Caenorhabditis elegans: one gene and its partner. The protein of the gene in region 2 interacts with the protein of the main gene of each other region in a pairwise test. Each region holds a gene or a part of one and is shown on either strand. Other genes may lie near its edges. The genes, in order: exo-3 and cpr-9.

The links.
Region 1: the proteins of cpr-9 (region 2) and exo-3 interact in a two-hybrid assay, tested with the Caenorhabditis elegans proteins (2 studies listed by BioGRID).

Annotation. Positions count from the first base shown.
Region 1 is NC_003279.8:11,904,801-11,912,325, forward strand, and holds exo-3 (exodeoxyribonuclease III), read right to left. Parts: upstream 4,452-7,525; 5' UTR 4,407-4,451; coding exon 4,158-4,406; intron 3,829-4,157; coding exon 3,502-3,828; intron 3,442-3,501; coding exon 3,226-3,441; intron 2,919-3,225; coding exon 2,844-2,918; 3' UTR 2,771-2,843; downstream 1-2,770. Other genes in the region: rbm-3.1 (RRM domain-containing protein), read right to left, coding at 4,650-4,797, 4,853-4,931, 5,150-5,174; rbm-3.2 (RRM domain-containing protein), read right to left, coding at 5,621-5,777, 5,863-5,941, 6,135-6,156; NEDD8-conjugating enzyme ubc-12, read left to right, coding at 6,527-6,620, 6,667-7,115; mag-1 (Protein mago nashi homolog), read right to left, coding at 7,347-7,525.
Region 2 is NC_003283.11:11,999,448-12,006,583, forward strand, and holds cpr-9 (Peptidase C1A papain C-terminal domain-containing protein), read left to right. Parts: upstream 1-3,605; 5' UTR 3,606-3,726; coding exon 3,727-3,729; intron 3,730-3,785; coding exon 3,786-4,031; intron 4,032-4,127; coding exon 4,128-4,934; 3' UTR 4,935-5,137; downstream 5,138-7,136. Other genes in the region: gcy-33 (guanylate cyclase), read right to left, coding at 1-84, 283-644, 700-1,202, 2,258-2,329; F57F5.3 (ABC transmembrane type-1 domain-containing protein), read right to left, coding at 5,185-5,465, 5,517-5,772, 6,339-6,504, 7,013-7,083.

The DNA of each region.
Region 1 (7,525 bases), on a different chromosome or scaffold from region 2:
GATGATTCGATTCATTTTCCAATTGAGACGTTGTCGCATTTTTCGCATTTCGAGATTCGTTTGAAGAAATTCACGATTCAAGATGCAGAGAAGATCAGAGATGTATGCTAAAACACCGGGGATTTTCGTTATATATTCTGTTTTTTTTTTCAGATCGTCCAGAATTCCCCTTCTTTTCAATCCGGAATCGTCAGAAGCCACATCAAAAAGCCCTACCAATTTGTGAAGATTTTCAACCGAAACGTTGCACAACAAAGTGGCTCAATCATCTATAAAACAATGGGATCTCGCTTCAAAATCAATTTTGGATATGACTCGTTTGAGATTAAAAAAGAAAACAATAATTAATGTCCGGCCTTTGTTAAGTTTTTGTTTAAAGTTTAAACAATAAAATTGTTAGTTCGATTTTTTTTTTGATATTTCTTCTTATTATATTTGAGTTCATTCATATTTCCCACAGTGGTACTTTCGAAACTTGTTATTTTTCGAAAAAAAAAACACGGCGTTCCGACTGTTCTTTAGCAAATTTTAGCTCGTTTTTCGGCCTAATTTGAGTGAACTTAAAATTAAAATAAGCATGAAAATTCTACAGAATTATACCTATTTTGCCATGTTTTTTCAACATATTTCATTGAAATTTAGTTGTTTTATCTGAAAATAACAATAATTTCAGCTGAAACATTTGAAAAAACGCTCAAAATTGGCCAAATTGCTTTAAAACATGCCTATGGTACCACAATGATCGAATATCATGATAAAAAATTCAAAAAAAATTTCTAAATTTTTATGATTTTTTGAAAATTGGAAAAATCGCAGTTTTCCCCTAATTCCTATTTAAATTTCCGCCAATTGAACTCGTTCGTTGGAGCGCGCTTGCATGATTTTCATTATTTTCCTATTTATTTCTATTATTCCACTGATTTTCTTCATTTTCTGTGTTTTTTAAATGCGCGCTCCACCGAGCGAATCCAATTGGCGGAAATTCAAATAGGAACCTATAGGAATTAGGGGGAAATTAAAATTTTTCCAATTTTCAAAAAATCATATAAAATCTAGAAAAAAATTTTTTGAATTTTTTAAAGGCATGTTTTAAAGCAATTTCCCCACTGGCCTCACTCTACCTTTAAGCACAAATCCACAAACTCGACTCCCCCAATGAGTACAATGTCAGAGTCCGATTCCTGCTCTTGTTCTGAATTCGACGAATCGATGGATTTGTGTTACGAGTTTGTTGCTTCTTTAGTTTAAACTCTAAATAATATGCATTTTCCAGAAAAATAATAGAAAAGAAGAATCTTCTGCGAAACAACAAAATTGCCATTCGCTCATGTATTCTGTTCCTGTATCTTCAGAAAGAGTCTGTCTATAGTGCATATCACTCGTTTTGTAATGTTCTCGGATACGGTTTGATGGAATATCGCGAATTCGACTTTTGGTACTATCAAATCGGAAATGGAGATGCTGATTTAGACTGTGAAATGAGGTAATTAACCGAGCCGCGACGCGACACGCAACGCGCCGTAAATCTACCCCAGGCATGACCGAGTCAAAATGGCCTAGTTCGGCAAACTCTTACATTTCAAAATATGAGGGAAGCTAGCGAGAGCGCCTTAAACAAAATAAAATAACTTTCAGCTATGATCCAAAAAGTCGCAGCCTGCCCGATATGCCTATCCAAATTGTTCATAAAGTTCTGGATGATATGAAACCATTTGAAACGTCAGTCTTCAATGCTTACTTAATTTTTAAAAATAGTTAATACCCAAATTTTCAGATTTCCTATTCGTAATGTGTCTCGAAACTTGAGATCTATCATCGACAATCGCAATTCTGGCATCAAAAAAATCTCGATGAGCATGGGCTACGATCGATTGGAGTTGTACCATGATGACGATGACGAAGATTATCGATCGTATACGTGTCGGAAGAATAAAAAAATTCGCAATAAGGAATATATGAAGAAACCATTGGACGACGTGGCGATTCTATTGAAAAATCCGAATCTTAAGCTGGAAGAGTTCAAAGTGGAGGTCAATGATGAATTCACTGAAAGATTTGAAGTTGCTAACTGCTATGAGAATTTCAAGGAGACTTTCAAAGCTTCGGAGGCGGAAATTAGTGCTAAAAAATTCACGATTGACATGCTGGACCTGCAAGATATTACCCAAGTCGTTTCCCATTTTAAACCGGGAGATCTCGAAGAAATTGGCATTGATGAGCTCTCCAATAAGAAGGACGTGGAACAGTATTTATGATGATTATGTTGATGAAACAATGGATATGTACTTGGCTCTTTTTGAGCTGGAGCAGTGGAAGAAGATTAAGAAACTTCGAGTCTGGGATCACCGTTTTACTTTCCCAATTGAAAATCTCTTCCATTTGTCGGGTTTTGAGGTTAAAATGGAAGAATTCACGGTTGATGACGCCATCAAGATTAGAGATATACTTTAGAAAATTGATTATTTTCAATAAATCTGATTTTTTTTTCCAGATTCACATGAAATCCGATCACTTTCAATCCGCAATCATCAGATGCTCTACAATTAAGGCTTCTCAACTCGCGATGCTTTTCAATCATGAGCAATCAGACGAAGAACATGCTCCGTTCGTCTATGAAACCGAGACGTCACGCTTCAAAATTAGGCTCACCTTTGGCTATTTGGAAATTAAAAAAGAACAGTGATCTCGTGTTGTTTCCATTTTTTGAAATTCTGTTAAACATTGTTACTTGTTGATGAATTTGTTTTTTTTTTTCAGACTTTCTAAATTTAAAAATTAGTCGAGATTCATCAAAAATACAAGTTTTAAAGCAATATTCACAAAATAAAATAATCAGAAGCAATTTAGAAGTCGATTTGCATGACGACCGGAGCATGGTCGCTTCCCATCACCGAGCTCATGATATCACTGCGTTTGACCTGAAAAAAGAACATTAAAATTGAATTTTAATTTGGATTTTATCAAAATTCCAGTGGAAAAATTGAATTTCCACTTGGATTACGTCGAAATTTCAGTAAAATTCTAAATTTTTAAGTGGATTTCATGGAAATCTTCTGAAAAATTTCAATTCCCCGGTGGATTTTGTCTAAATTTTTTTGGAAAATCAAATTTTTATGGCAAATTCCATCAAAATTTCGGTATCCACCGGGATTTTACGGGAAAAAATCCCAGACATATTGCATTTTTTGCCCATTTTTTCAATTTTCCACAGCTTCCAGACGAGACCTTATTCATAATTCGATTGCTGACAACATAATAATCCAATCTCCATCCAACATCTTTCTGCCGAGAATTCGCCAGATAACTCCAAAATGAGTACTTCTTCTCGTCGGGATGCATGGCTCTGAAGGTGTCGGTGAATCCCAACTCGAGCATCTCACTGAACCATCCACGTTCTTGATCTGTGAATCCCGCGGTTTTATTTCGATTTGATTCTGGATTCTGAAAGGATCAGGGAGTTAATTTATAATTTTTAAAACAAATTTAATACAATATATTTACTTTCAGATCAATTTCATTATGTGCAACATTCAAATCACCCCCGTAGATCACTGGCTTCTTCTCGTCCATCTCCTTCATCTTCTCGGTCAGCAGCTTCTCCCAGCGTCCTCGTTTCTCCAAATTCACCAGCTTCGCGCCCGAATTTGGAACGTAAGCTCCGATAAAGTAAAACTTGGAGAACTCGGCGATGATCAGACGTCCGGCAGTGTCGAATTCTGGGTCACCGATTCCTTTGTGAACCTTCATCGGAGCACATTTGCTGAGCAGCCCGACTCCTGCGTAGCCACCGTTCTTCTCTGTGGAGACGACGAGGGTTTTGGTGTAGTTCTGGAAAAAAATTAGCTTTGAAAATCGCTTTTTCAGCCATTTTCTCGCATTTTTCTGCTAAAATTTCATTCAAAATATTTTTAAAAAGCACATAATATCCCTATTTAAATGGAAATCTGGTAGAATTTTGACTTTTAAATGTTATTTTTATGCAAATTTCTTTTGAATTGCGATTTTCTTTGTAGATTTCAGGAAAAATAGTGAATTTCCGCTTGGATTTAATGGAAATTTCTACGTTTTTTCGTTTAAAATGTGTTAATAAACATATTTTTGATGAAACCCGGCCGTAAAATATGCGAAAAATCTCTTTTCTTCCAGGAATTCCTTACCTTAAACGTCTCCTCCATCTCCGGGGGCCACTCCTTACACTTGGTCTCTCCTAGAAAAACGAGGTCAGGCTCCTCGGCGAGCACTTCCTTAAAATCACTTTTCTTCACACAAGCTCTGAGCCCTGCCACGTTCCAGCACACAAACTTCCAGCTTTTCTGATTATTGTCCTCTTCTGCCGGCTTCACCTTCTTTGTGAAGATCGAGGCGAGCTTTGGTGCTGGTGCTTCTTCTGCTTTTCGCTTCGACATTTTCAGCAACAGGTTAGTAGTCGAGTAGGCTCTTGAACGGAGCAGCTGGGGAAGAAGAAAGTTGAATCAGGTCGGCGGATGGAAGGATGACAAATAGAGAAACTTCCCCGAATGTTGAACAGATTAGTTAGAGAATAGTTGAAATTGAATTAAATAATTAAATCGATAGTTTCATTGGATTGTTATTAATAATGAGATCAGTGAAGAGCAAAAAAGTAACAAAAACCCGATATGAAGATCAACTTATTTGTTGGCGAGGTTGACGCGGAGTGGTCTTCCATTGAACTCGGCTCCATTCATCTGCTCGACGGCTCTCTGTGCGGATCCTTCCTCGGCGAACTCGATGAAGGCGAATCCACGTGGACGTCCGGTTTCGCGATCACAGACGATTCTGAAAGAGATATTGCGTTAGAAATCATGAAGCTCGGGCTGGCTGGGAGAGTTACCTGACGTTGTTGATTTGTCCGATGCTGCTGAAGAAGTTTCCAAGCTCCTCCTCGGTGGTCTGGAATGGAGCGTTTCCAACTAAAAAAAAGGAAAATTTTAATTGATTTAAATATTTCGCAACCAAATTTGAATCTAAACACTTAAAATTGCCTTTTCAAATGAAAATATTAGGGAAAACTTCGCGAATTCGATTTTTCCGAAAAATCCCAAAATTTCAGGACAATATCGAGTTTTATTGGCTATTTTAACCAGTTTCCGATTGTTTAATACTTAAAATAAATTATTAAAAAACTAACCGTAAACAGAGAAGATTCCAGACATGACGATTTTAGGCCGTAGCAGAAAATTTATGACGGTTTAATTTTTCCGCTCACCCTGCCTTGGAGAAAACGTGCGGCAGTTGCGTAAAAACCGTGCCAGGGTTGCGTTTTGGCCCCGCCCCTCGAATAGCATCGATTTCGACAGATTTTTTCCATTTCAAGCTGAAAATATGAGGAATTAGTCCAAAATAAGACCGCGAAGAGTGTTGAAACTTGAATTTTCAGTTGTAAGCTCACATTGGGCTGCGCATAGCCCAGGATTCAAAACTTGCTCGAACCGAAGCCGTTCCTTCAAGCTTCTAGCCTCAACGCTTGCCATCAGATTGACCCCAAATGAAGATTCGAAATAAAAAAATAGAGCATATATATTTATGATAACGATTTCATGGGTTTATTATTATTGAGATCATTAAAGATCAAACAAGTAACAAAGTACCGATATGAAAATTAGTTGTTTCTGTTTTGAGCCAAGTTGACGCGTAGAGCTCTTCCGTTGAAATCGACTCCGTTGAATTGGTCGACGGCTCTCTGGGCAGCGGCCTCCTCGGTGAACTCGACGAAGGCGAATCCACGTGGACGTCCGGTCTCGCGGTCGCAAACGATTCTGAAAATAGAGATTCATATTGAGAGTTAACGGGTCGTCGTTCAGGAGGTTTCGGGAAGAGGAGATTTCGGGGAGAGAAGCTTACCTGACGTTGCTGACGTTTCCAGCCTGGCTGAAGTAGTTGCCAAGGTCGTCCTCGGTAGTTTGGAATGGAGCGTTTCCGACTGAAAAATGCATTAAAATTATTAAAAACTCAAATTATCTCAGCCTAATCAAATACAATAAATAGAAAAACGCCTGGAGAAAAATAAAAATTTTAGGCCAGACTTTAAATTCGGCTTTTCTCGATTAAAATCTGCTTTTAAAGCTGAATATTCCAGTTTTCTACTTGAATAATTTACAATTAACAAAACTAACCGTAAACAGAGAATCCAGACATGACGATTTTAGGCCGGAGCGTAAATATGTGTGATTCGAATCGTTTTCGCTTGCCTCCTCCGACTCGTGGGAAACCGTGCGGCACTTGCGGTAAAAGTGTGCCAGCCTTGCGTTCGCGCTCCGCCCCCTTTAGTCATTTCAGCGTTAGCAAACGCTGCGTCTTTTATTCCTCATTCTCTGTCATTTTTCATAGCAATTGTTTCATTTTCTCACGTAATTTGTCGTTTTTTCGCTGAATTACAAGATTTTCATCGATTTTTGACCCTTTTACACTGTAATTTTGCCAAAAAAACGATTATTTTCTCTATGTTTCCGTATGCGCCGCCTATATCGCTGAAAATTATCGTATTTCTTAATTTTTCGCTTTCAGAATGTTCAATCTTCAAAAACGAATCAACGGCAACAACGAGGACGGTCGGTATCTTGAAACCCGCATCGCCGTCCGTGACAAGCTCCTAGCTCAGGGTATGTGGCTGCTTTATAAAAAATTTTGATTTTACAACATTTTCAGAACTCCAACAGCTGGAGACTGCTCTTCGCGATCAGAAGCAAAAGCTGTGGCATCTCGAGGTCCCATCAACATCGTGTCTTCATGAGTTGGAACTCACCGTGACACCTCAAGAAGGAATCTATCGTGGAGGCAAATTCCGATTCAAGATCACCGTCCCGCCAGAGTACAACAACGTGCCGCCCGTTGTTAAGTGCCTGACAAAGGTTTGGCATCCAAATATCAACGAGGACGGATCGATTTGTCTATCGATTTTGCGTCAAAACTCGTTGGATCAATACGGATGGCGTCCAACGCGTAACCTCACCGACGTCGTCCACGGACTCGTCTCACTGTTCAACGATCTTATGGACTTCAACGACGCGCTGAACATTCAAGCCGCCCAGATGTGGAGTCAGAATCGCGAATCGTTCAATCATCGTGTTCGGGAATACATTTCTAGATATTGCTAAGGACCAACGGATCGGATTACAAATGGCCTGTGAATTGACCCCCCCTATGAAATTGATTTTGATTCTAACTTTTCCCCCACCTCTCAGACTTTTTCTAACTGTACTTTTTGAAAGAAATAAAATTTATTCTTGAGAAATTTGAGAACTTAAGAAGAGAAGAGAAAATCGAATAAATTAAACAAGTTAAAGAGATTTGGTGGATAAAATAGAACAGAGTCTGAAGGAATTAAATTAGATTGGCTTGATCTTGAAGTGAAGGCCAATGAGCGAGAAGACGAGGCACTTGAGATCCTGAACGAGATAGTAGAACGAGCGGAGACCATCCGGATCTTTCGAGTTGTTCACATCGGCTAGAGCTCCGATTTTGCCGGTCGTAAACGAGATGTGCTCGTTTTTGTACAGAATTTCCA
Region 2 (7,136 bases):
ACGTGGCAAGTAGAAGAAATGTTTCAGATGACTTGAGAACTGTGATTGGACCACGGAGAGTTACATACGGCAAACTTTCTAAACCTTAATAAAATGATTGAAAGATTAGTGGATATTATTTGAAGTTCTCAAATAAATCATTGGGCCTTATAATATTTTAATGGCATAAAACACTGCTGGCGACCATATGAGCTCGGAAATGCGGTTTTTTGCGTGCCCTTTCGGAGTTTTTTTAAAGAGCCTATATCGTACAACCAGGAAAGTATTTTTTGACAAACTAACCATATTCATTATCCATAACTGTTTTCTTTTCCAATGAAACTTTATCCTCCGTAATATCATTAATTTGAACTGTTATATTTTCCTCTGTTTGTTTAACAACCGGATGTAGAGACTCAATTTGAAATACACAATTCTGATGAACCATAATTCCTTCTGCAGTAAACTTAATACATGGACGTTGCAGATCAAATACATCAGTCATTAGTAGCCCTTGAATATTTGGCATTAAATTGAGAAGACCTTGTCCGGCCATTAAGATCTCGAGCTTTTTGTTGAAGGCAATATGAAAAGGGAACATTTGAAGGAATGATTTGGTGTCTACTGGCAGATATTCATTCAGATTCTTTACGCGTTCTTTCAATCTGAAAATCGGAAATTTTAATTTCAAAAATAGAGCCAAAAAAGATTTTGACTCACTTCAAGTCTTGTCCAAGGCCAACATTATCAAATGAAATCTTAAGAACAACAAAAGTAAATCTTCCTTTTTCTTTCTTTTTCAATACTTGAATTCCAATATCCAATTGATAAAATACTCTTGCCAATTCAACAAGTTGTCCAATTACATAAGAAAGATATCCAGTTCTTCTACTCCGATAATGTAGAATTAAACCATCTTCACTTTCAGATTTACAGTAAAATGACGGAGCTCTGAGTTTTGGATAACTGAATCGAAAATATTCATGAATATTATCAAGTCCTTTGATAAAATCCGAAAATCTCCTTCCCATAACATTCATCAAATCTCCATAACCATTTCGAATCAAAAATTGAACGAAAAATCTTCCAGCGAGAACTCCAATTTGTTCATATGGTGTTCCAGTGATTTCATGAATTGCTTTGAACATTTGAGGAACAACGTGTTCCGAATATTGATCATGAGTTGATACTGACTTTTCTGACAGTGATGTCAGCTTTTGAACCTGAAAATATAAAAAAGAATACCTACTATTAGATAGATAAATTTTCTGAAATTTTTCATTACCAGCAAAACATTTTTTTTTGAAACCAGTTGTTGCTATTTACTATATAAAAACTTCCTCATATGAAATTATACATAATTGCCGTATTTTCTCTATTAAAATGGCATGCCATATTGTATTTTGAAACCTAATATTTTTGTTGAATTTTCAAGTTATTTGGCTAATTCAATAGCCAAATCGGTCATTGTGCAACAGATATATTAAGATCCATATATAATTCAAGACTTGCGAAAGAGTTAAATAACAATTTTTTTTTGCAATTTCATAATCATTTGACAGATAAAATATTATAATATACATAGATGCGCAAGGCTAGTCTCTAAACAGTATGAATATTACCAGCTGGCATTTCTTTGTTGCACTCGAATTCATCCGACACAAAGAGTTTCAACACAGTTAAAGGGGAATTTTATTTTCTATCGAAGCGGGTCTCGCCACGAGATTCGTTTTCAATGTGATGACTAATATAGAGAATCTGCCAAATTTTACTATTTTATCACGTCTCGTTTTTTCTTTGAAAATCAAACTCATTTCAACAAACTTGTGAAACGAAAAGTATGTTATTTAAAATTATGATTTTTTAGTTTTGAAGTTTCTTTGATTTAGGCATAATTGTTTTTTAAAATTGTTGCTTCGAAAGACTGGCTAGCCAGCTGTCTCAAAAGTTTGGAAGTTTTATAACAATTTTTTCTGATATTTTTGGTCTTATGAACATGTAAAGATAAATTTTCTTTAAAAGATAATTTTTACGTCGAATTAGAAAAAAAATCGAGAAAAAATCGCAATGTTCTAGAAGTCTTTTCCGGTTAATGACGTCATAAAGTTTAAAGCTTAATATTTGAATGGGCGCCTTTTTTATATTGGCTGCATAGCTACTCACCTACACATCAATATATAATTGATACGGAGTCATTAAAAAGTTAAATGTTTTCAACTTTCATTTGGAATTTGAAAGATCATTCAAGTTGGTATTTAAAAATTAGAAAAAGTCAAACCTGCAGAAGAACTTGGGGTCCCCAGTTTTCCTGTATCATAAACCGAACACCTTCAATGACCAATCCGTACATTTTGCGGGTTGATTTCTGCTAGAAGATGTTTGAAAATGCTGACTAAAATCTGAATAAGGTGTTTCCACTACCAACATCTTCCAACTTCCGTGCCAGTTTCCGTTAGCTGTACACTGTTGCCCCCTATTTTAATAATCTCATCTTCGATTCGTAATATCCATTAGCTCACCTCTCCCCCTTTCCCTTGAAATACAAATGTCTGCGTCTCTCCCCGCTCGTTGCTCTTTAGGTCTCCCACCTTTTCCTCTATGTAAGGCAATGGTCAAGAGACCGCACAACACAGTGGTTCATGTGTGTATCCCTTACCCCTCCACAGAGACACAGCATAGACGGAGAGAGTCTAGGAGACCGAGGAGAGCAGTATACTTGTCAAGGCTAATTCTCATGCGTTAGGGCCGTGCCCCATTGGCGCAGTCGGTTAGCGCGTGGTACTTATAGTCTATAGGTTATGCCAAGGTCGCCAGTTCGAGCCTGGCATGGGGCAGATTATTTTTGTTTTATTTGAGGTGTCTAAAGTAGTTTAAACGACATTTGTAGCCCCTATTTCGTGTTTTGTAGTGAAATGTAGTCTGTTTGATTTGTGGGAGTTGGAATCGATCTTCTACGAACCTGTGATAAGAATAGTGATAACCTAAACATTGACGTACATGCATCTTTATGATAAACATGTCATATGACAAGTTAAGCAGGTCAAAGTTAATAGCTCGATGTATTCTAGTTAGTATAACAGCTAACACACCAGAGCCAAACTAGCAAAATCTGTTTGAATGTTTGTTTTTAAATTAAATATCAAACATTAATTAAAACAAAATTGATAGACTGGTATGTACTTTAATCCAGATCGTCAATGCCATGCAATCTCGCATTATGGTCGCGTGTGACGTCACATTATCTTAAAACACGGATGTTTTTTTCGGGAACCGAAAAAACGAGCTGATAATTGTAAGGAAACTATTTTCAGTTTAAAATTGTACTGCTGGAAAGTTGATATGACCAGGATAGTACGAAAATACACCTATTAAAATGTTCGAAGAATTATTGGAACAGTCTATTACTAGGGATTATATTTAAAGGCATAACACTATGAGAGCACAAAATATAATATTCTTTAATCACCTCTACAACTCGTTAACCCTGCAAATTTTCGCTTTCAAAGTCCAAGTTTAAGCAAATAATTTGAATTCTCCCGCAAACATGCACGTGTCTAATCAGGCCTTTCACTTCGAAATGAAACCGGAGCTAGTAGCGAAATGCCTAATTCTTATCAGCAATATTCGAGAAAACGCCAAACTTCAAAAGTTATCAGTCGCTTGAAACGAAAAAACTATAAAACCCCTGGTAAGCGCTTGATAAATTGGTCGACTGTCGAATTTCCCAATTCTCCAGCCAATCGAAAAATGGTAAGGCTTAATTTTCCTGAAGTTTAACTTCAGTTTCAAAAACTTTTCAATTTCAGAAAACTGCAATTGCTGCTCTTCTTGTCGGCCTTGTCGCCGTCAACGCCTACAATGTTGAGGTTAAGCACGGAGATGCCATTCCAGTTGAAGCTCAAATGCTTCGTGGACAGGAACTTGTTGATTACGTCAACAAGGTTCAGACTTCCTTCAAGGCTGAGCTCGGATCATACTTCAGCTCTTACCCAGATACCATTAAGAAGCAATTGATGGGAGCTAAGATGGTCGAGATCCCAGAAGAGTACAGAGTTAGTAAATTTGAATATTTTAAAGATTTTGAAAAACGCTTCCCAAAAAATACAGATTTCTTTCAAACTAATTTATCCTAATGAAATTGTTTCCAGGTTTTCGAGATGACTCATCCAGAAGTCGAGGATGCTGCTGTTCCAGACTCATTCGATTCCCGTACCGCATGGCCAAACTGCCCATCCATCTCCAAGATCCGTGATCAATCATCCTGTGGATCGTGCTGGGCTGTCTCTGCTGCTGAAACTATTTCTGATCGTATTTGCATTGCGTCAAATGCCAAAACTATCCTTTCCATCTCTGCTGACGATATCAATGCTTGCTGTGGAATGGTCTGTGGAAATGGATGCAATGGTGGATATCCAATTGAAGCCTGGCGTCACTATGTTAAGAAGGGATACGTTACCGGAGGATCTTATCAAGATAAGACTGGATGCAAGCCATACCCATATCCACCATGTGAACATCACGTCAATGGAACTCATTACAAGCCATGCCCATCCAACATGTACCCAACTGACAAATGCGAACGCTCTTGCCAAGCTGGATATGCTCTCACCTACCAACAAGATCTTCACTTCGGACAATCTGCATACGCCGTCTCAAAGAAGGCTGCTGAAATCCAAAAGGAAATCATGACTCATGGTCCAGTTGAGGTTGCATTCACTGTCTACGAAGATTTTGAGCATTACTCCGGAGGAGTCTACGTTCATACCGCTGGAGCCAGTCTTGGAGGACATGCCGTAAAGATGCTCGGATGGGGAGTTGATAATGGAACACCATATTGGCTCTGTGCCAACTCATGGAATGAGGATTGGGGAGAGAACGGATATTTCCGTATCATTCGTGGAGTTAACGAGTGCGGAATTGAGGGAGGAGTCGTCGGAGGAATTCCAAAATTGTAAATCTCGAAACATTGTGTTTGTGATTGCAACTTCAATGCCTATTGTACAATATGTATTCGATTTATAAATATTTGAATTATTCTTATATTTTCTGTTAACATTTGCATACAAACTTGAATTACATATTTTTTTGTCAAGATTAATTCGAATTCTGTTTCTTTTGTTCCAAAATTCAAATTGTTTGAAAAGGGTTATTATAATATAATGCACAGAACTTGTACTCCCAAAAAATTGTATGAAAAATATATGTTCATTGAACAGATAGTAAACGAACAAAACAAAACAAAGTAATGACATAAAAAATAAAAAGGGATAATGAAAATACAGAATATGCAATAAGTAGATACTGCATCATAAGAACAAAATCAGTTGGAAGACTTGTTAAATCAGATACTCCCAATGGCCAATGATTTGTTGATAACATTAAAATCTTTGACATTCGATTATGAGTTTCTGATTTTATCATATCAATATCATTTCCAAAAAGACTTCGATCCATTACTTGACTTATTTCCACTGATTCTATTGCTGCTGAAATAATGTGATTTTTTTAAATTTTAAACTTTTCAAACTAAAACTCACTTTTCATAAAAACTGAATATTTTGGGAATATAAAATTTGGCACAATAATGACAAGCAGCAGAATGGCAACACATTTAGACAATGCCTTTGATGGATTGAGAATAGCTGTCAGACATATAAAACCGACGATCAGAGCAAATATGGGAAATATGACATGAGCGAGCATTTCAATTTTGACGCCATTCATTTGTATGTAATTCCAAAGAAGTACGTTTTTGGAAACATCAGTCACCAGGAGAATACCGGCTAAAAAAATCTGAAAAAATACACTTTTTAGGTATTAATTTATATATTTTTTGTTTTTAAAGGATTAAAGGACGATCCGTTCTTCAAGTGCTATGAACTCTGGGATACAGGTACACTGCCTGGTGGTAGACTCAAAAATGCCACAAAGGCTATGCCTATTTGCGTTCCTTCAATGCTGGCTTCAACATTTCTAAATACAATCTACTCCTATTTTCCCAAGAAAACTCAAACATATATGTACATATCTTTCTTTAATTGTATGTATGTATGTAGGTAACATTCGAAACTAGTTACGTCTGCTTTTTTGTGCCTATGAGAACGCACTCCAAAGTTTTAAACGTTTTAAGCAACATAGCTCATTAAACGTTAAATTCTGGAAAGTACATTTTTAAAAGCGTAGATGAAGCTCAAGACTACATGTATTTTTATTGTAAATCTACATCACATAATGTCTAGATCAGTCTAAATTTCTTCTGAGATAAGGTTTTTTCCATGTGATGTTGCATATATAAAAACTGGATTAAAAGATTTTCAAGAGAGCACACTAGGAAGTAATGAACACGTCTTGAAACTTACTTGAGCATAAGAGAGTACACGAATATAATAAATAGAAGAATCAAAAACTCGAATTTTGCGTTCATAGTCCCTGATCGCAAAATTGCTATTTGTCTTGGTTAAATAATCTCGATAGTAGTCGGTGTAGTCATCTTCCAAATACGGGCGATTCAACGCGAACGGACTTCTGAAAACAATGAAAAGATGTCCTCGAGGATAATTTTGGTGTCAACTACTCGTTTGTTTTGTTTGAGTTTTGCGCGGTAAATTGTAAATTCTTTAGTAAGTTATGCCCTGTAGGGGAAAATGTGGGGTGGCCTTGAATATTGAAATTAGGGTTGACGTCTTGGGAACAGATTAGCGCTTTGGCGGAATAAATGAACAAAGTTGAAATATTGGCATACGGTATTAATTTAGGTTGTGAAGATAAGTATCTAGTTAGAATTAAGTTGAAGAAATTTAGAAAAAAAAATTTATACATACGACATATTGTGTTTTTTTTTTTTAATTCACTTCTACAACTTTAAGATAAGAGCTCATTTATGCGAAATGATCTGGAAATGGAAAAAAATTCACAGTATTTCTGTTGTATAATAAATTTTTAAGAAATCCTCATCTACTGCAAAACATTAATAAATGTATCTTTAAAAATAATTCCAAGTCTACAAAAGACCACCATTTTTCAATTCAATTACCTGTAGGGATATGCAGTCGAGTAATAAATTTGCCTGTTCGGATAAAAACCATTATAAAGTTCCTCTTCCATTTACAGACTGCATCAATGCTGACCAATTAGAAGCACTGATCTCTGTCACACTG